4 linked regions of the Pelodiscus sinensis genome follow. The protein of the gene in region 4 interacts with the protein of the main gene of each other region in a pairwise test. Links are inferred from orthologs where the notes say so. Each region holds a gene or a part of one and is shown on either strand. Other genes may lie near its edges.

Region 1 (6,960 bases), on a different chromosome or scaffold from region 4:
GAGACCGAAAGCCAAAGCAGCACAGCTGACAAGCATTCCGCTCAGCTGGCTGCGAGGGGCTGGCAAGCGACGCGACTCGCAGCTCGGCAGCCCAGCCAAAGGGCCAGACCCAGGCACACCGCAGCTCGGGGTCTGCACTCCCCCCCAAACCGCACCAGGGTTTCAATACCCCAGGAGGAGGCTCCAGCGGCTCGCTGGCTTGCGGCAAGGACCATCTTGGGTCACGAGGTCAGTGGCATCCGTTCACGGCAGTGCAACGTGCAGATCTAAGCCCGTCTCACCGTGAGCAGAACTCAGCCGTACACGCTTCCGCTCCGACGCGCCCGTCTGCCTTGCCCTTGTGCTCCGCCCCGCAACGCTGCAATGGCTCGCCCCCCGCAGCAGACCTGCCCCCCAGGACAGAGAACGGTCTTGGCTTCTTTTAGCAGTGTCAAGTGCCGGGCTGGAGGCACCCACACCCCAAGGGGCCGGTCTCTTGCCAGCATGGCCTTCGCTTGCAACTGGCTGCTCGGCGTTCGTGAAAACCAAAGCACTTCCACTTGGCACCCGCCTGCCCAAAACGCTCCTCCCGGGACACGCCGTGGGACAATTCTCCTCCCGGCCCGAGACATGCCAGGTGGACCAGGACACGCAGAAGAGACTGAGGAACGCCCAGCAGGGAGCGGACACCTCCCCCAAAACAAACCAAAACATCCGCCAACCTTTAGGAGCAAAAATACGCTGGGGAAGGTGACCTCCCCCCCCGCCCTCCGCATGATTCAAAACGACAGCCCGTTTTTTTTAAGAGTCAGACGCCAATCGCGAGCCAGCCCGTGTTCTCGCACACGTATGTCTGTCTGCACACAGAACAGTTAGCAGTCACTTAGCGTGTCGTGCCTCTGCCGGGGACGCTGTCGGATCCCATTATTCATGCAAACGGGCTATTGCAGCGGCTGGGCTCAATCAGCAGCAGCGGCAGCTTCAGCAGAGCAAGGTTCCCAAACCCGGCAGGGTAACTCTTAGCAGAGCAGGCAGCTTTCCCTTGGCCCTGCACGAGGCTGCTGCGGGCACAGACTGGTCGGCATTGTGTGTAAACCTCGGGCGCGCCCAAGCAAGCCCCAGCGCCTCTCTGGGACGCCGTGCAACCCTCCTCCGGGCTCGTCACCCCGCGCGCGGCTCCTGTCACTTGTGTGCTTTGTGCTGTCGTAGGGAGGCAGGTTGTGGCGTTTCGTCAGTGCTGAGCAGCCTTTATTATTTATTCATTACAAGGAGAAGCCAAGGGAAAAGCAACACAAGCAGATTCCTAACAACTTCTGGGCAGCAGCAGTGACAGACACGGCACAAAGCAGCCCAGAGGAAACCGAGGCAGCTCACCATTGCCACCTTCAAACCCGCCCGTCATCGGCTGCATGGGGAATGTTCTCGCCTCCCCGCTGCTGAGCAGGACTCCAATGCCAGCTGCCCACAGGGCACTCGGCCTGTTCTACAGCAGCGAGACGGGGGTGTTCAATATTATTCGTAGGAAAAAGGCGCCATTCAAACCCAGGCCCAAGTTGGCTCGGTCCCCAGTACGAGCCGCGGGCACTGCTCTCCGCTCCCCCAGCATGCTGTCCTCCCTGCACCCAGGTAGGGGCCACACAGTCTAGAAATCCACCCCACCTGAGCTGTAGGGGGGCCAGGCTACCAGTGGGCTAAGCCACGGCAGCTCCTGGAGTGGGGCAGTTCTAGCCAAGTCACTGCCAACAACCACCGAATCACAGCTGCAGAACGCCTGTCCCCTAGGGAGGAGGCATTACACCCGCAGCCCCCAGGAACAGGCAGCGCCTAGCCCAGGAACATCCCAACACACCGAGGCTGGAGAGAACTGAGAGGCACCGACTGCAAGCCAAACCCCCAGCCCCGCTGAGAGCGCTGCCGCCAAGCACCGGCACCGCTGCGCAGATCAATAGCAGCAGGCTAGTCGCACGCGGAACAGCTGAGACATACACCTTGTGCTTCCCCACAAAGCTCGCCAGCCAGGCGTTACCCCGGCGCTAACCCAGCGCCACTGCCAGCCTCGCAATTCCACCCGCACGCTGCGCTTCCAGCCCAGAGCTCTCCCCGGGAGAAGCAGAAAGTCAATCGAAAACAAGAGCAAAACATCGGTAGCAACACCAGCCCCGGCGTCACTGTGCAGAACGCCAAGGAGCCTGCCCGGTGTGCCCGCGGGCGCCCACCCGGCTCCGCCTGGGAGTCCACAGCAGAGCTCCCCCCCCCCCCCCCGAACTAAACTTTGTGGCCACCGAAGCCCCCGCCAATCCACCCTGCTGCCCAGAATGGACCCAGGGCTCCCGGGCACAGACCCCCAGGCTTACAGAGGGGACAGGCCAGAGCCCAGCCGGGACAGAGGCCGTGCATCTGTTATTGTGCACCGGGGGGGGGGGGCAGCTGAGCCCGGTGAGGGGCAAGATCCAGATGTGAAGAGCAGCACGGCCCCCCCCTCACTGCTCTCAGCCGGCAGGAGACCTGGCAAGCGAATGGGGGGAGCCGCTTCGGGGGGGGGGGGGGGCTGCCAAGCCACCGCTCTCCTCCCCGCCAAGGGAGATCCCGAGCAGCTTTGGCAGAGCACGGGGGGAAAGGCCTGGGGGGGGCGGTGACCATGCTCTGGGACCCGCCAGCCCTGCGCACGGGGGTGCTGCCCCCGCCGCCCTTCCAGGCCCGGCCCAGGCCAGGCTTAGGACGCCCCGCCTGCCCCGCGCCCAAGGACGCTGCCGGGCCGGGACCGGCTTGCGCCGCTCGCTCGCCCTGCGCCCCAGCAGCGAGCCGGGCCCGGGCCGGGGGCTGCCCCGGGGAGCCGGCTGGGGGGCGCTGCCCGCCCGCTCCCACGCCCCAGCGGCCTCCCTCGCCGCGCCCGCCCCGACCTACCAGCGGGATCCGGCAGCCGCCCCGCCGCTGCCCGCTCATCTTGGAGGCGCAGGAGAGACAGCGCCGGCCGGGGCGCGAGCGGCGGCGAGCGGGGAGGCAGGGCAGAGCAGCGCCGCCTCCCGCCCCGCCTCCCGGCTCCGCGCCCGCAGGTGAGGGCGCACGGAGCCGGCGGCTCCCAGCCTCGGGTCTGCCCCGCGCGCACCTGGCACAGACCGGCCCCGCCGCTACCTGCCCGGGCCAGGCCCCCGCCCAGCGCCGACTCTCCGCGGCTCCCGGCCAGCACTGCGGGGACCCCTCCGGCCGCGCCCGGCCCGGCCCGCCTCCCCCAGCGCGCTGGCCATTCGCCCTCCCCGTAGCTCGGCTGGCGGCGCGGTTGGTGCCTGCGGGAAGAGGGGCCGGTTCCCCTCGGAGCTGTGGTCTCAGGCGCTCTGCAAACTCAGGCAGGCCCCGCAGCAAGGCCCCACTGCCGCTATTCTGGGCAGGCTGGTCACCCCGCCCACCCGGTCTGTCCACCTCGGCGGGGACCACGCTCCACTCGCTTCTGGCCACAATGAAGGAGCGAGGCTTCCACAGGGCCGCTGGCTCAGCTAATAACCCTTGAAACCGCCCAGGGTGGCTCAGGGGCTGCGTTCCTAGCAATCCCCCCGGCACAGAGCAGGGTGTAAAGGGGCCGTGAAGGCCATTCCCCCTGCCCCCAGGAAAGTCCATTTCCGAGGTAGCTAGTTGCACCCGCTGTCAGGCCAAGGCCTTCACAGAGACCTGTGGAGCTGGTTTTTATTATCATTCATTATTCCAGGGGAGGAGACACTAGACGCTGAGACTCAATTTCTTTGTCTTGACACTTTCGATGTGTTTGCTTTTCCGTTTGCAGCTCGAGCTGAGCGCGAGGTTATTTCCCCTTCTCGTCAGAAACTGAGGAAGGGTGTTGGGTGCGTCTCGTACGTTGGGAAGACCCGGCTCGGCTGGGATTGCGGTTGCTGTTGGGTAAGCAGGCCGCTGTAGTCACCAGGCAGGCGCAGAAGGGGGAAATGCACCCTACAGACAGAATACTGCTCCCCCACCCAACAGCTCACTTGTACCCGCCCAGAGTGTGTGTTGGGCTCTGCCTCTTTCCTGGTCGTGAGCAGTTCCCAGGTGATGGGTCACAGCCCCGGTGAGATCCCTGGGTCGTGACGCTCCCCCGGGTGTGGAGGCCCCCCTTCTACAGCCGGGCACGTCCCCGTGGGGACCGCTCACTGCCGGCAGGCACCACCTGCAGGACTCTGAGGATGAACTCACGGCCAACCTCTCCTGTGCCGTTTGCGGTCACCCCATCCGCTTGCAGCCTCAGGAAATGCAGCATCCAGTTCATGGCTCAGCCACGTTCCCCTACTCGGCCTCCGTGCCCTGCGAGGGGAACCCGCACCCAGGCCCACTGTGTATTCAGGGCCCCCACTTCAGCAGATGGGTCCTTCCCTCTCTGGCCTCGCTGCTCTCAGGGGCTGCTGGTTCCTTTTTTCTTCCTGCCCCTGCCAGTTCCCCAAAGCTCCTCCCCAGCAGTGAGTGGAACCGCACAAAGCCCTTCCCTTCTCTCAGCCCTGCCCAGCTCCTGCACTGTCCTGGCCCCACCCACACCTGCCCGGCTGAGCCTCTTCCTTCAGCTGCATCCACCCCTGCACCTCGCTCCCTTGCCCACGTGGTGCCCCAGGCGTGATTGTGCAGGGGGTGCCATTTTAACGTGGCGCCTTCCATTCTGCCCGGGTCGCGGGAAACGATGCCACCCAAAATGGGGCCGTGCAGGGCAAAGGGAACCTCTGGGCAAACCTTGTTCGAGTGGGCGGGAGGGATCGTTCTAGGAAGGAGACTTTGCATGCAGAGCGGTTCTGGGCCCAGCTGTGCCATTAGCTTGCAGTGGCTATGGCCGCACTGCCAAACATGGGGGAGGGCGGCTTGTTCTCATGTGTGTTAGTTACCTGCTGTGAAATCCACAGTGAGACGAGGTGGCTGGTGAGCTCAGCTCTGCATCCCTGCTCAGACCTCACCTAACGTCTCTTGCGTCTCCGCTAGGGTTCCGCAGCGCGGTCGCGGCCGCGGGTCCGTCCCCCTGCACCAAAGCGAACCGAGAACTGCTCTGGGCCAGGATGTGAAGGGAGGGAGATGCCCAGCCGCCGCCGGGGCCAGGTTCGCCTCCCCTTGCCACCGGTGCGTCACGCTGCGCGTTCCGTCGTGTCGCACTGGAATCTCGCCGGGGTGAGAATCCCGGCCCATCCTGTGCGCTGAGCGGGCGTGAATGATCTCACAAGGAGCCAGGCAGCGGGCGGGCCGGCTGTGTCTCTGTTGGTCTGTCTCGGTGGGCGAGGGCCTGCCCAGCTTGGGAGGAGGAGAGGGGTGATGTGGGACACAGCCTGGTCTAAGCAGTGGCAATGCAACGCGGCGGGGGAGAAAAGGCCCTGTGATCGCAGCATGGACTCGGGGGACGAGTCAGGCACAAGCCAGGCCGTGATGAAAATAACGAATCCAAGGAAATCAGAAAGGCGGCCACAGGCTCTGGGATGGGCCCTGCAGGCTTCTAAGCCAGGGCGAGCTGTAAGGGGGCTTCCTTTGCTGCTCTGTTCAGACTCACTGTGTCGAAGAGGAGTGGGGTGTCCCGGCCGGGTCTCAGGCTCAGAGACCCAGAGGGGGGAGCCCTTCCAAGACAGCCCTCTCTGCGGGCAGCATGTGGAGCAGCCAGGCATGCAGCATCCTGGTCTCCCAGCTCAGCCCCGGCACGCACGCCGCACCGCGCCCTGGAGGAAGGTAAACAAGCCGACAGATGCACAGCGCGGGCGGGGGGTGAGGGAGGGAGAGCCGGAGTAGCAGCTCTGGTTGGAGGTGAGGAGGAGGGAGAGCGTGTGTGTGGGTCTCCTTATCTGTGCAGATCTTTCAGAAATCTGCCGGAAACCTCGCCACTCCCCAGCCAGCGCCGGGGACAGATGTGTGCGGGTGTGCCTCGCCCCTGCTGGGGAGCCATCTGCCGAGCGGCGGCTCACCCCGTGCCGGCGGGTTGCCGTCCATTAGGATGGAGCTGCACGGCAGAGGGAAGATCAATAGGGTTTTGCATCCTTCCGGCGGCTCTCCTTTGATGTCCTCCCTTGCTGCGCTTCCCAAAGAGGGAGGGTTTGCGCTGTCCCAGTTTCTGTTCATTTCTCCGTGGTCCTTCATGAAGCGCTGCCTGGGCCCAGAGCCGCCTTTGGTGGATTCCTCCTTAGACACCAGCGTGCTCACCTGACAGATTTTACGGAGCTCTGGGGACCCTGAAGCGAAAGAGGCATTTTCCGTTCGCAAGCCGTTTCCCTACGCGATTGACGGGGGAGAGGGCCCTGTCAGGCTGAAAGGTGCTCCCTCGCGCAGCTGGATCCCGGCAGCACTGGGGCTGGAAGTGCCGGGGCCATCTTTGGCAAATGTGTGCAGACAGCTTGTCTGTTCGCTCTCCTGTTTAAAACAAAAAAGCAGATGGCCAAGGAGGGGAGGGCGTGTGCCACCCCCACCGGGCTTTGCCCTGCCCCGGTAACGGTTTGGAAATGAGTCACATGCAGCGTCGACCCCTCGGGGCCGCGGAGGCACCGGCTCGCCCAGTGGAGTCCTGTTGGGGTGGTTTTCAGCAGAGACTGCGGGTACTTGCCTGTGCCAGGCCCTGGGCGCCCTGCATGAACAAAACAATCTCAATACACTGCCCAGGACTCCCGCTGCATGGACAGGGCCCTGGGGCAGAGAAGGGACGCGCCTTGCCGGGGTCCCCTCGTGAATCAGTCAGAGCCAGAATTAGAACCCGGGGTTCCGGAGCATGTTCGTATTACTCCATCCGCAGCCTGGGCAGGTTCTGCGACCTTGCCTGGCTCTAGAACGCCTGGTCTGCCGCGGCCCGAGCCACTGGTGGGTTTGGTTCCAGGAGATCGTCTGGGCTCGTATGGTCTCTCACTTTCCAGCACTGAGCCATTGCTCCAGGTTGGATGACTCCGTTTTTCCAGGTTTCCTTAGCGCCTCCTTCCTCTCCACTTCCAACCCCAAGGCATGTGCTTTTGAACCCTCGCATGCACACGGATCAGCAGCTTCTAGCTG
Region 2 (7,881 bases), on a different chromosome or scaffold from region 4:
TCCTGACACCCCCCCCCACTCCACACCCCTCAGCGCCCTGCCCAGGGCCACTGCTACTCCTGACACACACCCCCACTCCACACCCCTCAGCGCCCTGCCCAGGGCCACTGCTACTCCTGACACACACCCCCACTCCACACCCCTCAGCACCCTGCCCAGGGCCACTGCTACTCCTGACACACACCCCCACTCCACACCCCTCAGCGCCCTGCCCAGGGCCACTGCTACTCCTGACACCCCCCCCACTCCACACCCCTCAGCACCCTGCCCAGGGCCACTGCTACTCCTGACACCCCCCCCCCCACTCCACACCCCTCAGCGCCCTGCCCAGGGCCACTGCTACTCCTGACACACACCCCCACTCCACACCCCTCAGCACCCTGCCCAGGGCCACTGCTACTCCTGACCCCCCCCCCCCCACTCCACACCCCTCAGCGCCCTGCCCAGGGCCACTGCTACTCCTGACACACACCCCCACTCCACACCCCTCAGCACCCTGCCCAGGGCCACTGCTACTCCTGACCCCCCCCCCCCCACTCCACACCCCTCAGCGCCCTGCCCAGGGCCACTGCTACTCCTGACACCCCCCCCCCCACTCCACACCCCTCAGCGCCCTGCCCAGGGCCACTGCTACTCCTGACACCCCCCCCCCCACTCCACACCCCTCAGCACCCTGCCCAGGGCCACTGCTACTCCTGACACACCCCCCCACTCCACACCCCTCAGCGCCCTGCCCAGGGCCACTGCTACTCCTGACCCCCCCCCCCACTCCACACCCCTCAGCACCCTGCCCAGGGCCACTGCTACTCCTGACACCCCCCCCCACTCCACACCCCTCAGCGCCCTGCCCAGGGCCACTGCTACTCCTGACACCCCCCCCCCACTCCACACCCCTCAGCACCCTGCCCAGGGCCACTGCTACTCCTGACCCCCCCACGCCACACCCCTCAGCACCCTGCCCAGGGCCACTGCTACTCCTGACCCCCCCACGCCACACCCCTCAGCGCCCTGCCCAGGGCCACTGCTACTCCTGACACCCCCCCACTCCACACCCCTCAGCGCCCTGCCCAGGGCCACTGCTACTCCTGACCCCCCCCACTCCACACCCCTCAGCGCCCTGCCCAGGGCCACTGCTACTCCTGACACCCCCCCCCACTCCACACCCCTCAGCGCCCTGCCCAGGGCCACTGCTACTCCTGACACACACCCCCACTCCACACCCCTCAGCGCCCTGCCCAGGGCCACTGCTACTCCTGACACACACCCCCACTCCACACCCCTCAGCACCCTGCCCAGGGCCACTGCTACTCCTGACACACACCCCCACTCCACACCCCTCAGCGCCCTGCCCAGGGCCACTGCTACTCCTGACACACACCCCCACTCCACACCCCTCAGCACCCTGCCCAGGGCCACTGCTACTCCTGACACCCCCCCCCCCACTCCACACCCCTCAGCACCCTGCCCAGGGCCACTGCTACTCCTGACACACACCCCCACTCCACACCCCTCAGCACCCTGCCCAGGGCCACTGCTACTCCTGACCCCCCCCCCCCACTCCACACCCCTCAGCGCCCTGCCCAGGGCCACTGCTACTCCTGACACACACCCCCACTCCACACCCCTCAGCACCCTGCCCAGGGCCACTGCTACTCCTGACCCCCCCCCCCCACTCCACACCCCTCAGCGCCCTGCCCAGGGCCACTGCTACTCCTGACACCCCCCCCCCCACTCCACACCCCTCAGCGCCCTGCCCAGGGCCACTGCTACTCCTGACACCCCCCCCCCCCACTCCACACCCCTCAGCACCCTGCCCAGGGCCACTGCTACTCCTGACACACACCCCCACTCCACACCCCTCAGCGCCCTGCCCAGGGCCACTGCTACTCCTGACCCCCCCCCCCACTCCACACCCCTCAGCACCCTGCCCAGGGCCACTGCTACTCCTGACACCCCCCCCCACTCCACACCCCTCAGCGCCCTGCCCAGGGCCACTGCTACTCCTGACACCCCCCCCCCCACTCCACACCCCTCAGCACCCTGCCCAGGGCCACTGCTACTCCTGACCCCCCCACGCCACACCCCTCAGCACCCTGCCCAGGGCCACTGCTACTCCTGACCCCCCCCCACTCCACACCCCTCAGCACCCTGCCCAGGGCCACTGCTACTCCTGACACACACCCCCACTCCACACCCCTCAGCGCCCTGCCCAGGGCCACTGCTACTCCTGACCCCCCCCCCCACTCCACACCCCTCAGCACCCTGCCCAGGGCCACTGCTACTCCTGACACCCCCCCCCACTCCACACCCCTCAGCACCCTGCCCAGGGCCACTGCTACTCCTGACACCCCCCCCCACTCCACACCCCTCAGCACCCTGCCCAGGGCCACTGCTACTCCTGACCCCCCCCCCCACTCCACACCCCTCAGCGCCCTGCCCAGGGCCACTGCTACTCCTGACACCCCCCCCCCACTCCACACCCCTCAGCACCCTGCCCAGGGCCACTGCTACTCCTGACCCCCCCACGCCACACCCCTCAGCACCCTGCCCAGGGCCACTGCTACTCCTGACCCCCCCACGCCACACCCCTCAGCACCCTGCCCAGGGCCACTGCTACTCCTGACACCCCCCCACTCCACACCCCTCAGCGCCCTGCCCAGGGCCACTGCTACTCCTGACACCCCCCCCCCCACGCCACACCCCTCAGCTTCCCCTGGCCTCCCCCGAGGGCGGGTCACCCACCCCAGAAGCGCTCCCAGGCGACGAGCGCCGAGCCCCTCACGGCCGCAGCCCGCGCTCCCGGGGGAGGCCGGCGAGGAAGGCGACCTCCGCGCATACAATGGCGGGCTACGAGCCCCGCCGGGGACGCACGGTCACCTGCCGCCGACGGGCAGGGCTCCTGTCACGGGCAGCGACACTCGCCTCGCGCCACCTCAGCCAGGCACCGTTTCCCGCCCAAGCAGGCGGCGTCTCGCGCCGCGGAGTATGCTGGGATAAATCGTGCTGCGCGCGCACCCTGCCGCGAGCCAGACAACTACAGCTCCCAGAGACCCAGCGCGAGAGGTGGGCGGTGCCTCGCCACCATTTTATTGCTAGCGGCGGCCGAGCCTAGCGCGCTGATTGGCTTGCCGTGACGTGACGCACGTATACCGCGGCCCCTCACCAATGGGGTTGTAGGCCCGGCCCCCTCGCGGTGAGTAGCAGGCGCTTAGCCAATGGGCTGCTCGGCGCTTCCCTTCCCGGCTAGGCGGCCCCGTGCTGCTTCTGGAAGGTTCCGGGTCCCGGGCCGGGATGTCGGGGGCGCTGAGCGCCACGCTGGGCGGCCTCAGCAGCGACTCCTACTGCGAGATCAGCCAGTACCGCGACCAGCACTTCCGGGTGCGCGCAGGCAGGGCCCGAGCCTGAGGGGTGGGGGCAGGTGCACAGCGCCAGGGGGCGGGGCCTGAGGGGTGGGGGCAGGGTGCACAGCGCCAGGGGGCGGGGCCTGAGGGGTGGGGGCAGGGTGCACTGCGCCAGGGGGCGGGGCCTGAGGGGTGGGGGCAGGGTGCACAGCGCCAGGGGGCGGGGCCTGAGGGGTGGGGGCAGGTGCACTGCGCCAGGGGGCGGGGCCTGAGGGGTGGGGGCAGGGTGCACAGCGCCAGGGGGCGGGGCCTGAGGGGTGGGGGCAGGGTGCACAGCGCCAGGGGGCGGGGCCTGAGGGGTGGGGGCAGGGTGCACTGCGCCAGGGGGCGGGGCCTGAGGGGTGGGGGCAGGGTGCACAGTGCCAAGGGTTGGGGGCAGGGGTGCGTAGCGGCAGCCTGAGGGGATGAGCACAGGACCGGGGGGTGGGCACATGGGTGTACAGCACCGGCGGGGGACAGGATGCACAGCGCCAGGGGGCAGGTCCTGAGGTGCTGATGGCAGCCCAGGAGATGGCAGGGTGCAGTACCCAAACCTGAGGGAGGCAGAAGTGCCCATGCCCTTTGCCATGATTGCCATCTTGCACTTCATTGCTGGAGTAGGAGGGGGAGGTTCTCAAACAGGCAGAAGTAGCAGTTTCACAACCAGTGGGTCAGGCATTCCCTGAACAGTAGGTTGCTGTTTCCATTTACTGTTTGTTGTGCTCTCAGGGTAGCCGATACCTACAGGATAAGGCCCTGAAGCTCTCTTCCACACTGTATGTGGGCAACCTGTCCTTTTACACCACTGAGGAGCAGATCCAGGAGCTCTTCTCCAAATGCGGAGATGTTAAGAGGATTGTCATGGGGTTAGACAAGGTCAAGAAAACCCCTTGTGGCTTCTGCTTCGTGGAGTATCCTTTTCCGTTTTCTGTTGCCATAATTTTTCTGCCACTGCTTTTTGATTAATCGCATCCTGGGTGGATTATATCCCCTCAGTTCTGTTGAACATCAGCATGTTACAGAGCATATCTGGCCTCTCTGGAGGAGCTGGGAATGCTCCTGTGATATGTGAGCAAACATGAAAATTGTGAGCTTTCATTCACAGTACCAAACAGTTTCCCTCCTTCACAGGGTCTGCTATTTCTCTACCATCCTGCCTCAGTCACTGACATTGCTGTGGATATAGTCATTTCTCTCATTCCCTGTATGCAGCTGGCATTGACAAGCTGAACAACACTTTGAGTCTTCCTTATAACAAATTCCAGGTATTATACAAGAGCAGATGCTGAGCATGCAATGAGGTATATCAATGGCACCCGACTGGATGATCGGATCATCAGGACTGACTGGGATGCAGGGTTTAAGGAGGGACGACAATATGGGAGAGGAAAGTCTGGAGGACAGGTAAAGAAAATACTAGCTTCAGCACTGAGCCAGCCTTCCTTGGGACTGGGTGATGGGTGGAGCTACCTTTGGCCGATCCAGTGCAAAGTAGGGATGTTAGCTGTCGGTTAATTGAATTCTTAGCGGTTAGTTGACTATTTTATAGTCCGTGGGGGGAAGGGCCGGCAGCCATGCAATCTGGCCCCACTCTGAGGGAGCCCCCTGCCACTCTGCGCTTCTGCCTCTGTATCAGAGGCAGCAGTGCAGGGTGCCAGGAGGGAGCCAGTCTGCGAGGAGAAACTGTTTAAAAACCAGCTCCCCTTGTGGGCTGGCTGCTTGCCACCCTGCACTGCTCCCTCTGATACAGAAGCAGCAGTGCAGGATTGCAACAGTCCTGTCTGCAAGGGTCCAAGCTCCCTGTGGACAGAGGCTACTGGGAGAGTAGGAGGCAGTGGAGGCTGCCCCAGAGCAATCTCTGTCTGCAGCAACCCAGGCTGGCCAGCGACAGAGGCTGCTCCAGCAGCAGCCCCTGTCCACGGGGGGCTGGGACAGAGGCAGCAGTGTGGGGTATGGGGGGCCGAAGCAGGTGGCACCAGCTCCTGCTTCTCCCTCCCCTTGCTGCTTCAGATACAGAGGCAACGGGGACAGAATGCGAGTAGCCAACTAGATTAACCGACTATTCATTCACATCCTTAGTACAAAGGCAGTCATCCATGGCAGACCCAGTAATGAACTGAAGCCAGTCTAAAATTATTTTAAGATCACTAGAGTAGGAGCATGGTACTTAATGCCTTTTGAAACTACATTCCAAGCTCCCTATGGCCCAAAACAAACCGCTTTGCTCACTTCTCAAGATAGTGTTCTCAAAAGGGTGTAGCAATCAAGGTGGGGAGTGAGAAACAGGATCATAATGGGGATGGTGTGGTTCTAAAGCTAGTTTAATCATCAAATGATGCCTATGAGAAGATTAAAATTTCTTCCCAGATTTCCAGAGGAACAAAGCTTTAGGTTCAGGCTTTGGCGATTCATAAAGATGAACTGCAAAGCAAAACCAAACAGAATTTGGCCCTTCTCTGCTGCTTCATTATGTCTAATGATGGCCCCGCCATTAGAAAAGTCAGGTCTTCCCATCAGTCTCCTTGGTAATGGTTCCTTTGCAAGGTATTTTAAGGGCTTGCAAAGGCTTGTAATCTGAGCTTCAGCCCACCACCAATGTATGCGAAGAGGGTGCCTAGCATGTCTCTGTCTAGCCAGGTGCAGATGCTGATTTGTGTTACTGCTTTGCCCCAGGTGCGAGACGAATACCGGACAGACTATGATGTGGGAAGAGGTGGCTTTGGCAAAATCATTCAGATGCAGAAAACCAATCACCAGACCGTAATCTACTAAATGACTAATCTATCCCAGTACCTAGAGGGATGGTGAGCCTCTGCAGCTAGCTCTGGCCTCACTCTTTGGATGGGGGTGTGATTGGAGCCAGGTTCCAGCAAAAGGCAATACGAGACTGGCTGTTCAACATTTGTTCATTTCTCATCTCTCCTGGGCTGGAATGGCTGATCTATTGTGATACAGGGCAGCAAGAAAATAGAGTGGCCAGCGCTGCAGAATTTCTCACTAAGAATAAGTGAGACATGTCCCGCTCAGACTTCTGCCTCCAAGTTGTCATTGCAGCTGTGGTTGCTCTCGAGCACAGATTTCTGAGAAATACAACAGCCATCAAAGCCCGCCTTTCTGCTTGTGCAGCTCTGGGACAGAGGGAGGAGTTTAAAATATGTAATTTACAATCTTGTTTGCCTCTGTAAAGCATCATTCCTGATATAAATTAGGGAAGCAAAGCAAGATCTTACTGGCCACTTGCAAGTGCTTGTCTGAACTCTGGACCCTTTGCTCAGTAAGCCCTGCAGAGCCTTAGTCTTTGCTGTATCTGTGATGCTGCCTGCTGTTGCAGAGCGTCACTATTACAATGTGGTTTTGTTTGTGTCTGGGTTTTTTAAATAAACATTAAGTCCTGTACCTGCTGCAGTTTGCGCTTCATTGCCATTGGGCATGTGGCAGGGCTTTTGGGGGACACAACCTGTTGGCATGTCGGCTGCTCTCTGACCACAGTGGGGCAGTCGTCCTGTTTGCTGTGATCTGGGTCTTCCTTTTGGTGCTGGCCTCATTTGTCTTCCCATTGCACTCTGTGCTAGTAGCGGGTTTGTCACCTCGTGAAATCACCAGTAAAGTTACACTTTGCTGTGTGTACTAAGATGCGAAATTAGTCCTCAGTTCCCTGCATCAGTGAATGCCAGGAAGTTTCCCCATTTTCTGCCATCGTAGTGCCAAGTCCTGTAGCATAGAGCACATGAAGCATCATGGGGCCAGACCAAGAAGCAGGAGCTGCAGGGCATACTGCTCTTTCTTGAGTCCTCCAGCTGGAGAAAGGGAAATTACCCTAGCATACAGTTCCTGTAACGCATTCCTGCATAATGAGGTGCTGTAACAGTTTCTTCTTTTGCATTAAATCACATACTTTAGCAGCTCAAGGCCTCTGAACTTCAGAGGGAAAAATGTCTGCCTCTGTCCTATTCAGTGGCAGGACACAACCAGGCCTCCAAGCACACTCTGAGTTACCCAACAGCCCTGATAACTAAGGAGTAATTGCCAGAGAAGTGCTTACACAGGCACAAACAAGGAGTCCAGTGGCTCCTTGAAAGTCTAACCATTTTATCAAGTTATAAAGTTTTTGCTTGTTGCAACTCACTTCATCAGATGCATGAAGGGAAAGAATCAGATGGTAGAGAAACAGAGATGGGAGCATTACATCAGCACTAATTCGATCAGGGTGGATGTGGCCCACTTCCAACTGTGGTAAAGTGAGAATACCCAAAGGGGAAAATTATTTTTTGTAATGACCTGTTCTGGTGGTGTCAATTTGTATATGAATTCCAGTTCAGTGGTTTCACGTTGCAGTCTGTTTTTGAAGGGGTTTGATTTGTTTGTTTGCTGAAGAATGGCAATTTTCAAATCTCTATCTGTGTCCAGGCAAATTAAAATGCTCTCCAACTGGTTTTGTATGTTATTATTTAGGGATGCAAAGGAGTAGTTGACTAGTCAACTAACTGATAAGCATATGCTT
Region 3 (7,266 bases), on a different chromosome or scaffold from region 4:
TGAGGCTACCCTTGGGCAATTTTTGTTTGTTGCTACCCTCTGGAATCTCTCAGGAAGAAAATGTTGGGCACCTGCCTGTTCTAGATGTATGAGATTTAGCAACAAGAAAAAGCAGGTGTGAGTTTATTACAAAAAATTCATAAATTGAAGAGCTGATCAGATTCCCAGATGATTTCAGACAATCAAATATTGGAGACCAAAGCCGCTTCCCCCACATTTGTATGTGGTCTCAAGTTGCAAACGTCTCTCTCAAATACAAATATTTAGTGAAATACTCCAGAATTAGTGGTACTGGTTGAGATGTTTGGAATCATCCTGCAAAATGTTATCTTTTCACTTAAGAAAGGGAAAACAATTCAGCAATTGCTAATGGAAATATTTTCATTTTTTGGGGTAACCCATTATTAAAAAAAGTTTAAAAATATTGAAGTTGAGGAAAGCAGAGATTGCATTATTTTAATATCTGAAATTATGTCTGATTTAAAGTTGTAGTGAATTTAAGCATATAAATTACCAGATTGCCACTCTTCCCTGGTAAAGAAAAAAAATGGCTTTAAATCTTAAATCCTGCCTGCAGCATGGAAACCCTATTTATGCTACTCCAACAACATAAATCCATGGAGAATTCATCTTGCTTTCTCCATCGCCTCCCCACAATGAGTCAGGTACAACACATGTGCCTGACTATAGTTGTAATAAACTATAATATTATCCCAACTCTACACTATTTTTGTCCCATAATCATGCAAAGAAACTAGTAACTTTGACTAGAGCTAAATCAGTGTTACATTTCTGTCAAATAGAAGTCCACACCTTCTCACATTCCCCCTCCAGACATAAAAATATTTGTATACTGCTGGAAAATCTAGACCTATAATAACTTAACAGCTTATTAGCTACCATTAAAAGTATAGCAGTAAACCTAACCCAATGACATGATTAACCTTCGTGAGAGGGTGGTATGCATGCGATTTTATGTTACTGTGTTGCAGTTAATTTGCAATAATTAGAAGCTACTATTACCACCGAAAATAAACTGAAACATTTGGCACATACACCATCTTCTCCTGGGTAATCTCACACTTCTATTATTAATAGAAACCTAACCCTAATAACACTTGCTATTTTACCATTTTAGTCTAAAGGGAAAAAACAAAACAGAGACCAGCTGGCTAAATCCATTGTTTGGTTCATAAACAAACCTACCCTATTCAATAGGGTCACTCAATAAGCTGTGAACAGTAGCTACTCCTCTCAAGCCTTAAGTAGAAGCAGAGTAACAATTATTCATGGGTATGGGGGGCACCATAAGAGAGTATATAAAAGTTCAGCCTCAGCTTCTCTGAATAATCAGAATATTATCTTCACAATTGCATAGCCCTTTGAAACTTTAAAGTTCTAAGCAACATTATCAGAAAACCATGCCACTGTTTAAGTTCTCACATTGTGCAATTATGTTTAGAGCCACTGATTTTCCTTTGTGTGTGTTTGTTTCTAAACACTTAAAAAAAAGGACACCTCAAACTTCAAGAATAGGAACAGGAAGCTTAACTTACTATTTTCAGGCCAGTCTTCTGGTCACTTCCTGTCCCACTATCATACAATTTGTAGTATATACATGCTAAGCAATCAGTAAGAAGTACCAGAGAAAGCTAACTAGTTCAGTCACTTATGAACCATGGATCATTCTGGGGTGGTTAAGGAGAATAAAATGACTTATATTCTGGATATAACGCCTATTATACATATTGCCTGGTTTTGGAATAGAATAGGAGGCCAGAACTGCTAATTAAGTTATCATTTGTTAGGTTACATAGACAGGGAGATCCTGATTTTGTTCTTCTTAGTGACAAGATTAAGAAATTACAGCTGAATACATTAAAAAAAAGATTCTAAATGGCTTTCAGCCAGATATAAACTCACCGAGCACCTTCTACACTTGTTGCTTTATTGAGAAACAGACAACAGGGCTATGTGGAAGCACACCCAGCCTTCCAAGTTCCAACACTAGCGAGTCACTACTATACAACAGCATTGTTCTCGCCTTTGCTTCTGTTGGAAAGGTCAGTGGCACTTTACCTGTGGCTCGATCACTTCCCAGAGATAGATGGAGAGGAGTTAGCTTCAATGTTTCCGTGGAGGTGTGGTTTCCAAACGTGCCACAATCTGAAGGAAACCTGAACTTGTCTAGTGTCTTACTGGCTGATGATGTTCCCAATTAAAACAACCACTTGTTATTTATTACAAAAGGGAAACTCTGCCCCCACAAAGGCACCCCACGTCCCCTTCCTTTAGTCCACTGCCACCCCTCCACCCGGCTCGGCAGCTAGCGCATCGCCTTAGTCCGATCTGGCAAAGTTCAGAGGCTGCAACTTCCCCCGAAGCGAGAGGCTCAGCTCACACCCACCCCACGCAGCCGAGAGAAGAGCGAGCTCTCCGCAGCAGGCTGAGAGACAGCAGCAAGACTCGGGGCTCCCGGGAGCGGCCGACAGCGGGGGCTTGGCGCTAAGAGCAGCGCACCCCGCCACCCCCAAGGGGACGCTGGCCAGGCAGGCTCGCGGTCCGGGCGGGCTGAACTCACCGCTCCAGGAAGATGGGCGAGGAGCTGAGTCCCCGCCGCTCGCTCCGCTCACGTCCTTCGGCTCAACGCGCCGCTGCCTCCGAGGAACCTGACAAGCCGGGTTGGGGCGCAGGTCGTTCCCCGGGGCCCTTGCGCGCCCCGCCCCGCCCCGGCTCCTCCCCCGTCCTGGCCCATTGGCCGCGGGCAGAGGCTGCGGCGGTGACCGGGCGCGCGGGATGCAGCGCTGCGGGGCACTGGGGAGGCGGCTAAGGGGGTTTCCAGGGCCCGGGCTGGGAACTAGGGGGGAGGGGGGCTCCAAGCGGCCGCCTCGGCGCAGTGGGGAAGCCCGGCGCTCAGCAGGTGGAGTGGGGGCCGGGGCTCTCCCAGGGTGTGCTGCAGAGCCGTGGATGACTTGGGGAGCGACTGGTACATCCCCCTCCTACTCTCCCCCGCAGGCTTGTTTCAGGCAGTGGCTGGCGGTGGGTCACTTCCGAGAACAGGCGGGGGGGGGGCTTTCCCCAGCTGCTAGGAAATGTGGGTGGTTCTGGTTGTAGCCAGCAGCTGGGCCTGCCATTGCCTAGTGACGGCTCCTTCCTTGCTCCCCTCTTGCGGCTGCAGAGGCCTTTTGCCAGCTGCGCAGGGGGCCAACAAACCCTGACTCGACTGGCTTGGCTCTTCTAACCCTCCTTTGTGCTAATGAGGCTAGAGCAGGCTGGGGAGCTGACTAAGGGGGGTACAGAGCAGAGGTATGGGTGAGGGACGGAAAGGGGAGAGGAGCCTCAGAGCAGAGAAGTAGCAGGTGAGTGTCAGGAGGCAGGAAGCAGTGAGAGGGAGAAGAGTAAAGTTACAGACAGTGAAGAGGAACCAGAATTCCTGGGAACCTGACTGGGTGGAGGCTATCTGATCTAGGGATGTTAGATAGTGGGTAATAGAATAGTCAACTAACCACGGGAATTCTTAGCAGTTAATTGACTAGTCTATAGTCCCCAGGGGCAGGGCCGCAGTCGGTGCTTTCCACCTCCACTCCCAGGAAGCCTCCTGCCACCCCACGCTACTTCCTATATATCAGAAGCAGCAGCGTGGGGTGCCAGGCAGGAGCTGGTCTGTGAGGGGAGCCTGTTTGAAAATCAGCTCCCCTTGCAGACCATCTACCTGCTGCCCTGCGATGCTGCCTCTGATACAGAGGTAGCAGTGTGGGGTGGCCGCAGCCCCTGTATGCGGAGGGTCTGAACTCCCATGGACAGAGGCTGCTGCGGGAGCAGTGGGGCAGTGGAGGCTGCTCTGGCATCAGTCCTTGTTCACGGGGGTCCAAGCTGCTCATGGAGAGAGTGTCTGCCTGTGATGAGCTCAGACTTCCTGTGGGCAGGGGCTGCTGCTGCGAAGGAGGGGCGGGTGGCACTGCAGAGCCAGTGCTCAAGAGAATCAGCTTTTAAGTTGGCTCCCCCCCAGCACCAGCTCCTGCTCCCCCCCCTTGTTGCCTCTGATACAGAGGCAGTGGGGGGGGGGGAATGTGAGTAGTCAACTAGATTAACTAATAAGAGTAGGTTTATTAGTTAATCAGCTAGTTGACTACTCGTTCACATCTCTAATCCGAAGTAGGAGGTACAGTGCAGAATGATACAGGAGAAGGGTGGTAAGTGATAGACTGAGAAATTGGGGAAGGAATAGAAACTGCCCCAGTGAATATCAACAATCACCAGTTGCCAAAAAAGTGGCAGACAATCAGACTACAGTTTTTGGGCCCTCTTCATGTTATAACTTGTAATGAGTTGCTGGTGTGGCTGGCTGTACACGTGGCTTCTGTTTGAACACACATAAGTTTAAAACTCTATTGTGACTGTGGTAAGTATAGTAACTGTGTTGAACTAATCCTCTTTTGCTGTGCCAGAGGCGCAAGCTGACATACATCATGCTGTAACAAGTTCATCTTTTTTGCAATGTGGACCAGACACCTTAACTAAGTTCGTATAACCAGTTTGGTTAGTCCTGCTTTACTGCTCTTTGTGAAGTACAAAGCCCACAGTATGTTGCCCCACATGTTGCTGATACTAATCAATCACTGTGCATGTTCTCCAGTTGCTTTTTCCCTTTCTGAGGTCCTGATTCAGAAAAGAATTTAAATGTGAATAGTCTCATTAGCTTAAATGGGACATCTCAGATACCTGACACAGAACATGTGCTTGTATACCTTATTGAACAGGGCCTGAAGCATTGTGGCAGAATTGTCCAGATTTTCCCAGAATTCACTAGTACAAACATGGTAGGACCAATACACAAACACAGCAAGATGGCAGAAAAAAACTGCTGGGAACTAGGAGCATCCTGAGGCCGGCTGCTGCAGCTGGCACTCCAGGCAGAAGGCGCGATTGGCACCTCTGCCTGCACGGCCATCAATGGCCGTGACATAATCACTGGGTGCGTCGGTGCCCCGTGACATCATCATCAGGCACCCGGGCCAATGGCACCCTAGGCAACTGCCTACTTTGCCTAGCCTCACGGGCCACCCCTGCTGGGAATCACCCCTGTGATTCGTAACCATTTGTCAAATCAAGATGAAAAGTGTTGCATGGACAGTGCTCCAAAAAGTTGAGGCCAAATTCAGCTGTGTGTCTATTTGTGTAATTTACCCAGTCAGAGAAGTTGTATTAACTTACTGTGCCTTAAATTGGGTCTTTACTGAAGAAATTTTCTCAGGTTTAACTTTTTTTTTTTCAGAAAATTCCAGTCAAATCTGTTCAGCCATTTTTGAGTGAACTGGCCTTCATATTATACATGCCAGCCCCGTAAAAATCCCCCTGAATTTAGCCAAGTTATAAATCTTTAAAAATTCTCAGTGCACACCTGCTCAGTATAGACTTCCTAGAGTTGAACAGCTAAAATTTATAAAGAGCCCATCCTCACTGAGCTTGCTCAAGTCTCTCACCATGCTTATTGCATACCATACTGCACATGTGCCATCCCCTCACAATTCTTACATGGCACTAGGCTACACATGTGCCATCCCCACAAAGAGTGCTCAAAGCCAGGGCTTCAGGGGCAAAACTGGATTTTCACTATGATTGCTCCAAATGGGATGGGTCCAGACAATGTCTTTCCTGTGTGTTCAGTAACCCCGCTACTTGAACCCAGGCATTGTGGAGGAGGGACCTATCTGATTTGAATGTAGAAAGGACAAAAGCTAGTCTGAGCAAAGGGAAAGGAGAAGATTGGGAGAATGAGTCCAGTGCGACCATGGGTGGAAGGTGAACATCCCCTTTGGGATGTTCCATCTACACCAGCCTAAGCTGCCACACCTCCTGGCTACCAGTCTGAGCTGAGGCTCTCCCAATTTAAGGAGAGCCTGGGTGAGGCCTTGGGGCACAGCATGGATGGGACCATGGCCTGGTTTACGGGAGGCTTAGCCTCCCCTGGGCTTTGATATCCACTGCCATGGGTGAAACTGGGACTGGAATTGAGGAGAAGCTTGGGACTATGAGCTAGAGTAGTGACAAGGGAGACAGTTGGTAAGGGAGGACAGAGATCTGACAAAGACCATAAAGGGAAAAGACTGAGACTTAGAACCAATGTGGGGGAGGTGAGGCAGACCTGACAAGGAACTGGGGTGCAGGAGGAGAACTAGGACTGACTGGGCAAAGAGAGTATGACAAAGAGCCAGGTAGGGGGAGACTAACATCTTGAGTGTGGTGCACAGGGAGCGAGACTAGGACTGAGAGCTAGTGTTGGGGAGGCTCAGATTGAGATTAGGACTGGCTGGGCAAGACAAATGGGACTGGAATGAGAAGACTGAGGAGTAGAGACTAGGATTGTAAATGGGTAACCATTACCTCAGGGCAGCCCCACAGGGCCGTTACCTCCCAGCCCACATGGGCTGGGAGTTGGAAGCCTAGCATGGTGGGAATAGTCTGTTTCAGCCCATCTGGGCTGGAGTGGCTCCCATTAATTGGTTAACCAATTAAATGTGAAGTAAAGTACAAGATTTTACATCCCTAGTAGAGACTGGGATTACATCCTATTGGCCACTCTTCTCTGGTGGGATCTCTCTCATCCTCTGCTCATCCTATGAACCCCTCTCTTTTCAGAAACTGCAGCCTCCTGTTCAAGACTTGACCCTCCAGCCAGGTCACTATGTGGTTCTCCCTTCTGGGGAGGTACATGACAAAGTCTTTCCCAGAACAAGTTGTCCCAGCAGTTCACTTTTCTTTTTCCTGGTATTTGCCACATCTCTAGGGTTGGCTGGGGAACTGGGCCCATCCTTTTCTCAAGGGCTCTCCAGTTAGCAGCACATCAGTTACTACCTTAGCTCAAGTGACTGAGGTTTATGCCATGGATATAAAGATTTCAGACATGTGGATGCACCATAAGGGTGTCCACATGATGCCACAGGATGGAATTTCTGTTTTTCAGGGTTTTTTTTAAACTAGGAGATAGTGTTTTGCCATGTAATTAAAGACTATTGCTATGAATTTAAATCTGGGGTCAAACAAAAATTGAACAGGTAACAGGTAAAATTAAACAGGTTAATTCTAGCATTTCGTAACTTTTGAGTGCTTCATTTGGAAAGATTAATATTCTTTTAATGTAGCTTTGTGTGTGTAATAACTGATACAGGCTTATAATTAATATGTTTATACTTACTTTTACAGTAAATGAGGGCATATTTTGATATGCATCATAGAATTTGAACATATAATTTAAATACTTTCCCT
Region 4 (7,521 bases):
GGTTTCCATCTTATGTAGAGTTTACAGTTCAGTCCGGTGGTTCTCAGCCCTGCCCCATACACAGTATTCCAGCCCCGCTGTTAGGGGTCAGGCTCTGATCTGGGGAGTGCCCAGCTATTTGCATTGAGAGATCGGGGGACAGTGATGTGAGGATTTCGGCTTGGTCCCTAGAACCTCTGAGCGCAGGGGATTTAAAGCAGGGGGAGCAATTTCTCAGTGGTTCTAGGGGTACAGAGAGTTGCAGATGGTGGTTTAGGGGGTAGAAATTGGGCTGTCAGAGCTTGGGGGTGGTGGATGGCAGCGGATTGATGTGCAGCCTCATCCAGCATCTCAGAAGTTGCTGGCTCCCGGCTGACCTGCCCTGGCACCCCCCACCACCCTATTTGTTATTGTAGGGTTCCCTTGCTGATTTGTTGTAAGGCAACACAAATGCTGGTGCCCTTGTGCAGACCTGTGTGTTATTGTAGGGTCTCTCAGGCATACGGGGGGGGGGGGGTTGTTGATTACACCAGGGAGCCCTGGGAAGGACACTTTTATTTTGGTAGGGTCGCACAGCAACAGGCGGGATTTTTAATACACCACCACCCCCTGGAGGTCTGGTTGAGGAATTGCACCATTTGGGACCCCAAGTCTCCGTGAGGTAAGGAGGACAAGGAGAGGCAGGCGCCCGCATGCCAGGTGAGGCAAAGGGCACCTCTTCCAAGAAAACCCACCCCTAGCATGTAAACCTTGCTGCAGGCTAACAGAAAAATTCCAAACCCTTCCCCTGGGATGCAGCCATCTCTGGGGAGGGACAGAGAAGTAACAGCCCCACATTTTAGGAGGGGGCTCCCTAGGCCAGTTACAATCGCAAAGCACGGTGGGCTGTAGGGCGAGACTACAGTAAGCTGTGTGGGAATTAGGCCAGGACAGCAGCGGTGCCACCGCACCTCGTGGGAACAGGACATGAGGATATTTACAAACTTCCCCCGCGCCCGGCCCGATACTGCACCAGGGTGTCAGGATCAACCCTGAGCGCCGGGGGTCAGCGCCCCCTACAGAGCCCCTGCTCTGCTCCCTTGTTCCAGCGCTAACCCTGCCTGACCCTTCAAGATCAGACAAGCGCCTTAGTGAAGGCCGCTCCCTCCCCGCCAGCTGTCTGCAGCCTCTAATCCAGCAGGAATGCATGACGCACGCATGCCGGCAGGCCTGTGTCATAGGCCCAGCCCCCGGCCTCAGGCCTGGGAACTGCCAGGCCCCTGCCTGCCTGGCTACAAGCAGCCATGGGGGACAGACACCGAACCCACCATCCTCCTGGGAGGGACTAGAAACCCTGCCAGAGAGCAGTGGGTTTCAACCTTGCCCCACCCTGAAAAATTTCAAATGGTGGAATAGACCCCTTGAAAATCTTAGCCATCTCCTGGGTACCCTGAAACCATTGACAGAGTGACATGGCCCCCGTAATGCAGAGATGTAACAGACGGCTGAGGCGAGTTTGCCTGTACCAACACCATCCCCTAGTCCCCAGACATTAAAATGCAGTACCTAGTTTGCCTGTAGCAACACTGCCCCCAACAGGTAGAGACTGTGAAATGCTATTGCTAGTTTGCCTGTCCCGACACCGCCCCCTAGTCCCTAGAAATTAAAATGGAATAGTTAGTTAGCGGTGTTGCTACAGGCGGTGACAGTGAAATGCTACAGCTAGAAAAACTTGAAAAACAACAAATAGTCTAGCTGCATCTTAATGACAAACAAAATATGTAGATGGGATCCTGAGCTTTTTTGGGTATAGCTCTCTAGCTAGTTTGCCTGTACCGATATGGCCCCCTGGTGGGGGGACAGTGAAATTTGATAGCTAGTCAGCCTGTAGCAACATTGCCCCCTAGTGGGTAAATTAATGGAGATGCCTATCTCCTAGAACTGGAAGGGACCTTGAAGGGTTCAGTTGAGTCCAGTCCCCTGCCTTCACAGTGGGACCAAGTACCATTCCTGACAAATTTTTGCCCCAAATGGCCTCCACAAGGATTGAACTCACAACCCTGGGTTTAGCAGGCCAATGCTCAAACCACTGAGCTATCCCTCCCCCTCTAGCCCCTGCCCATCTGCGGAGCATACAGTGAGGGGGAATCTCCTGGCCAAAGGCAGCTTCTGCCCCATGGAGCACTGGAGGAGGGGAAAAAAAAAGAGGATCGGGACTAGGAGTGGGGAGAGGGCTGGAGCGTAAACAGCAGCGCAGCTGGCAGACAGATGGTGCCTCCTGGGGTATCAAGATTGGGGTGGGAGGCAGTGTGCATGCAGCCAGTCATGAACGGTGACCCCCAGGTGAATATCGCCTGGCAGAAAATCCCAGTCCCCTAGTGGGCCCGATCCTTGCTTTTCTTTTCCTTCCCTAAACTTTCCGTGGACCCCCTATAGTACCATCACAGACCCACAGGTTGGGAACCACTGCTATAGCTAGTTCGCCTGTACCAACACCACCCAGGCGAGAGACACAGTGAAACACACTAGTTTGCCTGTACCAACACTGCCCCCTAATGGAGCAAATGCCCTCGGGAGTGGGCCTGTATCAACACTGCCCCCTGGCGGGGAGACAGTGAAACGCTGTGTTGTGTGCCTGAATTAACACTGCCCCCTGGCGGGGAGACAGTGAAACGCTGTGTTGTGTGCCTGAATTAACACTGCCCCCTAGTGGAGAGACAAGAGAAACGCTGTTTTGTGTGCCTGTACTAATACTGCCCCCTAATGGCGAGTGGTGGTATAAAACCAGTAGTGTGCTCAGTGGATTGTTCCATAGTGCAATGCCGTGGCTAGTTTGCCCGTACTAACCCCGTCCTCCGGCAGGGAGTACCGCAACGACCGGCTTGTCTGCCACAGGCTCTTGAGTGTTCGCAGAGCAGCGTGTTTCTGGAATAGCAACAGGTCTGTCCCCTGCACTGCCGAGCTCTGGTCTGTTTCACAGTTAAGGACACAGAGGAAAAGGACAAATGACTCTCGATGTCAAGTGGAGAGTGGAAAGGAACCCAAGAATCCTGACTCCCAGCCCCCCCTTTTCCTTGCCCCCCCCTGCTCTAACTACTAGACCCCACTCCTCTGCCACAGCTGGAGAGAGCCCAGGAGTCCTGGCCCCCTGCTACCCCTCTGCTCTAACCATTAGACTCCTCTCCCCTCCCCGAGCTGGGGGGAGAACACAGGAGGCAGACAAGTGTGTAAAAGCAGCAGCGACTTTTCTTTTTTAATTTTGGGAAAAAAAAAGTTCTCTCAGCTCGCACAAAAATCAGAAATACAAAAATACTTTATCAGCTTTGGGCGAAGACGACCATGTTAAAAAAACCCTTCGGTGCTTAAAAATAAAGGGTCCCGGTTAAGGCACTGGGATCCCCTGCCAGAGCCAGGAATCGAACCCAGGAGTCCTGGTTCCCAGCCCACTTGCTCTAAGTCCTAGGCCCCCCATCTCCTGCCAGAGCTGGGGATAGGGATAGGACCCCCCCAGTCCTGACTCACAGCCCCCTGCTCTAAACCTTTCCACTCCCAGAGCTAGACCAGAATCCAGGAGTCCTGACTCCTAGTTTCATGCCCAGCGACTGGGGTCCTGGGCACAGAACGAGCCACCCCTCAGCCCCTGCCACCCCACAACCGGGCTGCTACTCACTGCTGAGACCGCCAGCAAGAGGGCGGTGAAGTGCCCAAAGGAGACGACTGGTCCGGGAACCCGTCAGTGTGAACCACAAGGCACAGAATGGTGGGCGGGCGGGAATGGCTTTTGGCTCCTAGGGAAGAGAGTTGGAAAAGGGACCCCCCCCCACAAGGGGAAAGGTGCCACGTCCCAGTCCTCAATCTCCTGAGCCAGCCAGTCCCCCACCCTGGTGTTGGATCAGAGCCCGAGCCCCCCTACAGGGGACATGCCATTCGCCAAGTCCAGAATAAGCCCCACTCCCCAGTGTGTGACTGAATTCTGCACAGATTTATCGTTGTTTTGTGTTTCAAAACACACTTTCAGAGACTCTTTCTGCAGCCACAAGTGCGGCTCGAAACAAAACATGCTGGGTAAAGCCGCCGGGTAAAACCCAGGAGTCCTGATTCCCAGCCTCAAGTCAAGCCTCCGACCATTAGATCCCACTCCCCTTCAAGAGCTGGGGATGGAACCCAGGCGCCCCGCCTCTCAGCCCCCTCTTGCTCTAACCACTAGCCCCCACTCCTTTCCCAGAGCTGGGAAAGAGAACCCAGGAGTCCAGGCTCCCCAACCCTTTCTTGCTCTAACCACTAGTCCCCACTTCCCTCCCAGTGCTGGGGACAGAATGGAGGAGACCTGCCTCCCAGCCTGCCTTACTCTAACCACTAGCCCCCACTCCTCTCCCAGAGCTGGGGATTGAACTTAAAAATCCGATGCAAGGAGGCTGGCGCCTAGTGGTTAGAGCAGGGGGGGGCTGGGAACTGCTGTCTCTGGGAGGGAGTGGAGCCTAGTGGTTAGAGCAGGGCTTGGCTTGGCATTTGCAGACGCTAGGCACTCAGAGGAGCTAATTCTACAGGAACTAGTGCAGGACTCTTGAGCTCAGAGCCTCAGTGCATGGTAGAGGCCCTGGCCCCTCAGCTCTCCTTGGCAGCCGCCGGGCCGTTGCGGGCCAGCAGGTCCCCATAGGCAGCCTCCTCGCGGGAGAAGACCAGGAACTTTTTATCCAGCTGGGCGCGCAGGTAGAGATAGTCCTGCTGGTCCAGGGCGTGCCCGCAGCTCAGGTAGAGGGTGAAGAGGCTGGCCAGCAGGAGGCGATCCAGGGACAGGCAAGGCACCACCCACAGCACCAGCAGGAACTCCAGGTAGACGGGGTGGCGGAGGTGGGAGTAGAGCCGCAGGACTCGCACGGACTTCAGCGCTAGCGGGTCTCCCATGCCCAGGCAGTGGTAATAAACCTGGGGGAGGGGCAAAGGGCAGAGCTGAGACACGCCCTGCTCCAGAGCAGAGCTGGATCCCTGCTGGCGCCCCCTAGGGGAAAGGCTCCATGTCGCCTTCACAGCCAGCCAGTCCCCCAGGCCGGAGCCACATTGGATCTGGCGCCCCCTAGAGGAGAAAGGCTCCATGTCGCCTTCACAGCCAGCCAGTCCCCCAGGCCGGAGCCACATTGGAGCTGGCGCCCCCTAGGGGAAAGGCTCCATGTCACCTTCACAGCCAGCCAGTCCCCCAGGCCGGAGCCACATTGGATCTGGCGCCCCCTAGAGGAGAAAGGCTCCATGTCGCCTTCACAGCCAGCCAGTCCCCCAGGCCGGAGCCACATTGGAGCTGGCGCCCCCTAGGGGAAAGGCTCCATGTCGCCTTCACAGCCAGCCAGTCCCCCAGGCCGGAGCCACATTGGATCTGGCGCCCCCTAGAGGAGAAAGGCTCCATGTCGCCTTCACAGCCAGCCAGTCCCCCAGGCCGGAGCCACATTGGATCTGGCGCCCCCTAGAGGAGAAAGGCTCCATGTCGCCTTCACAGCCAGCCAGTCCCCCAGGCCCGAGCCACATTGGATCTGGCGCCCCCTAGAGGAGAAAGGCTCCATGTCGCCTTCACAGCCAGCCAGTCCCCCAGGCCCGAGCCACATTGGATCTGGCGCCCCCTAGGGGAAAGGCTCCATGTCACCTTCACAGCCAGTCAGTCCCCCAGGCCGGAGCCACATTGGATCTGGCGCCCCCTAGAGGAGAAAGGCTCCATGTCGCCTTCACAGCCAGCTAGTCCCCCAGGCCGGAGCCACATTGGATCTGGCGCCCCCTAGGGGAAAGGCTCCATGTCGCCTTCACAGCCAGCCAGTCCCCCAGGCTGGAGCCACATTGGATCTGGCGCCCCCTAGAGGAGAAAGGCTCCATGTCGCCTTCACAGCCAGCTAGTCCCCCAGGCCGGAGCCACATTGGATCTGGCGCCCCCTAGAGGGGGAAAGGCTCCATGTCACTTTCCACACCCCTCCTGAGCCAGGCACCTCTCCAGCCCTGGCTGCGTGGGGCCGAGATACCTGCTTGACTCCCATGAGCTCGGCGTAGTCGAAGATGAGGATGACGCTGAAGATGACCAGCCAGGCGATGAAGTGCAGGATGAAGCAGAGGAGCGGGACCCAGGTGTCCCAGGGCTCCGTGCAGGCGTCCCAGAGCAGGGGGCCGTGCCGGACGGGCTGCCAGTACCGCATCAGCAGCTGCGGGGGAGCCCCATTTGAAATGGCTCTGCCGGTGCCCCTCAGTCCCGACCCAGCCTCGGGCTCCCCCCAGCTCTGCCTGTGCCCCTCACCTCCTCCCACAGCCCCCTGCCCTGGGCTCCGCCCCCCCATTACCTACTAGCCCCCCCAGCTCTGTCGGTGCCCCTCACTCCTGACCCGCAGCCCCTGCCAGCCCTGCCCAGTGCCCCCAGCATCGCTCACTCCCAACCTGCAGCCCCTGGCTAGTCTGGCCCTGCCCCCTGCCCCACCCCCAGCTCTGCTGGTGCCCTAATTCAGCCCCAACCCACAGCCCTCAGCTAGCCCAGCTCCGCCAGTGCCCACATAGCCTGGCTACCCCAGACCCTGGGATCCCCCCAGTTCTTCCGGTGCCCCTCAACCCCCACCCACAGCCCTCTGCCTTGAGCTCCCCTCACTCCCGACCTGCAGCCCCTGACAGTCTAGCTCTGCCAGTGCCCCTCACTCCCAACCCCTCCTAGCCCAGCCCAGGGCTTCCCCCAGTGGGTACCTGCAGGGCCAGGGAGGTGCAGAAGACGTAGAAGGATCGCTGCAGCACCCCGAAGCAGCTGGCAGTCCAGCGCTTGGCCAGCGCAGTGGCCATGAGGCTGTGCTGCAGCACAAACAGCATCACCAGCCCCAGGTCCATGGCCAGGGGCTGCAGTACCCGGGGGTCCTGCAGGGCAGCTCCCCACTGCGGGCTGGGGGAGGCCTCTGCAAAGGGGGAGACAATGATTAATGGGAGGCAGAAAGTACCCAGGAATGAGCTACCCATTTGGGTCCCTCCCCTCCTCTCCCCCAGAGCCCTGCTCCCTCCTCTGCCCCCAGTTCCCTCTTTGCTCCCAGCTCCTGCCCTAGGCCCCAGCAGGACCCAGCTTAACCACCCTGCCTTGCCCATGGCTTCTGCCCCCCGTCCCAGCTCTCCGGCATTCCCCCCTAACCTCTCCCCACTCTGCTTCACCTGGGTCTCCCCTCTCCTGCAGCCCCCACTATTCCCACAACCCCCGGATTGGGAGGAGCTTTCCCCAGGATCCACCCTGTCTCCCCAGAGACCAGCCTCCAGGGAGGGGCTTACCCTGGGTCTCCTCCCTTTTTCCACTCCCGCCTTGGATCTCCTCTAGGTCTCTCTTCCCAAACTCCTCCCCCACCAGGAGTCTCCTTTGGGGCACCCTCCCCTCCCAACCGCCAGGGTCTCCCTCAAGGTCTGGTCTCCCTTGCTAATTCCCCTCCCCCAGGTAGGTCTCCCTCCAGGTCTCAACCCCAGGTCTCTCCTGCACCCTCTCCTCCTGGTCTCCCCCCAGGTCTCTCCTGCACCCTCTCCTCCTGGTCTCCCCCCAGGTCTCTCCTGCACCCTCTCCTCCTGGTCTCCCCC

What was found.
Region 1: the proteins of PPP1R18 (region 4) and MID2 interact in binary tests that used the Homo sapiens proteins (3 or more experiments, as listed by UniProt). The two-hybrid records come from large-scale screens. The link is inferred for Pelodiscus sinensis from reciprocal best matches to the Homo sapiens genes PPP1R18 and MID2.
Region 2: the proteins of PPP1R18 (region 4) and TEX11 interact in binary tests that used the Homo sapiens proteins (3 or more experiments, as listed by UniProt). The two-hybrid records come from large-scale screens. The link is inferred for Pelodiscus sinensis from reciprocal best matches to the Homo sapiens genes PPP1R18 and TEX11.
Region 3: the proteins of PPP1R18 (region 4) and STX11 interact in binary tests that used the Homo sapiens proteins (3 or more experiments, as listed by UniProt). The two-hybrid records come from large-scale screens. The link is inferred for Pelodiscus sinensis from reciprocal best matches to the Homo sapiens genes PPP1R18 and STX11.

Annotation. Positions count from the first base shown.
Region 1 is NC_134723.1:1,581,399-1,588,358, reverse strand, and holds the start of MID2 (putative E3 ubiquitin-protein ligase MID2), read right to left. Parts: upstream 3,010-6,960; 5' UTR 2,884-3,009; intron 1-2,883. UniProt on the Homo sapiens protein: E3 ubiquitin ligase that plays a role in microtubule stabilization. Mediates the 'Lys-48'-linked polyubiquitination of LRRK2 to drive its localization to microtubules and its proteasomal degradation in neurons.
Region 2 is NW_027465980.1:262,621-270,501, reverse strand, and holds the start of TEX11 (testis-expressed protein 11), read right to left. Parts: upstream 3,009-7,881; 5' UTR 2,878-3,008; intron 2,868-2,877; exon of another isoform or gene 2,743-2,867; intron 1-2,742. Other genes in the region: nuclear cap-binding protein subunit 2, read left to right, coding at 3,292-3,378, 4,110-4,291, 4,646-4,784, 6,054-6,152. UniProt on the Homo sapiens protein: Regulator of crossing-over during meiosis. Involved in initiation and/or maintenance of chromosome synapsis and formation of crossovers.
Region 3 is NC_134713.1:102,086,175-102,093,440, reverse strand, and holds the start of STX11 (syntaxin-11), read right to left. Parts: upstream 3,005-7,266; 5' UTR 2,582-3,004; intron 2,181-2,581; exon of another isoform or gene 2,167-2,180; 5' UTR 2,080-2,166; intron 2,047-2,079; exon of another isoform or gene 1,924-2,046; intron 1-1,923. UniProt on the Homo sapiens protein: SNARE that acts to regulate protein transport between late endosomes and the trans-Golgi network.
Region 4 is NC_134742.1:11,552,966-11,560,486, forward strand, and holds the start of PPP1R18 (phostensin), read right to left. Parts: upstream 3,006-7,521; 5' UTR 2,806-3,005; intron 1-2,805. Other genes in the region: NRM (nurim), read right to left, coding at 4,564-4,884, 5,958-6,134, 6,661-6,863.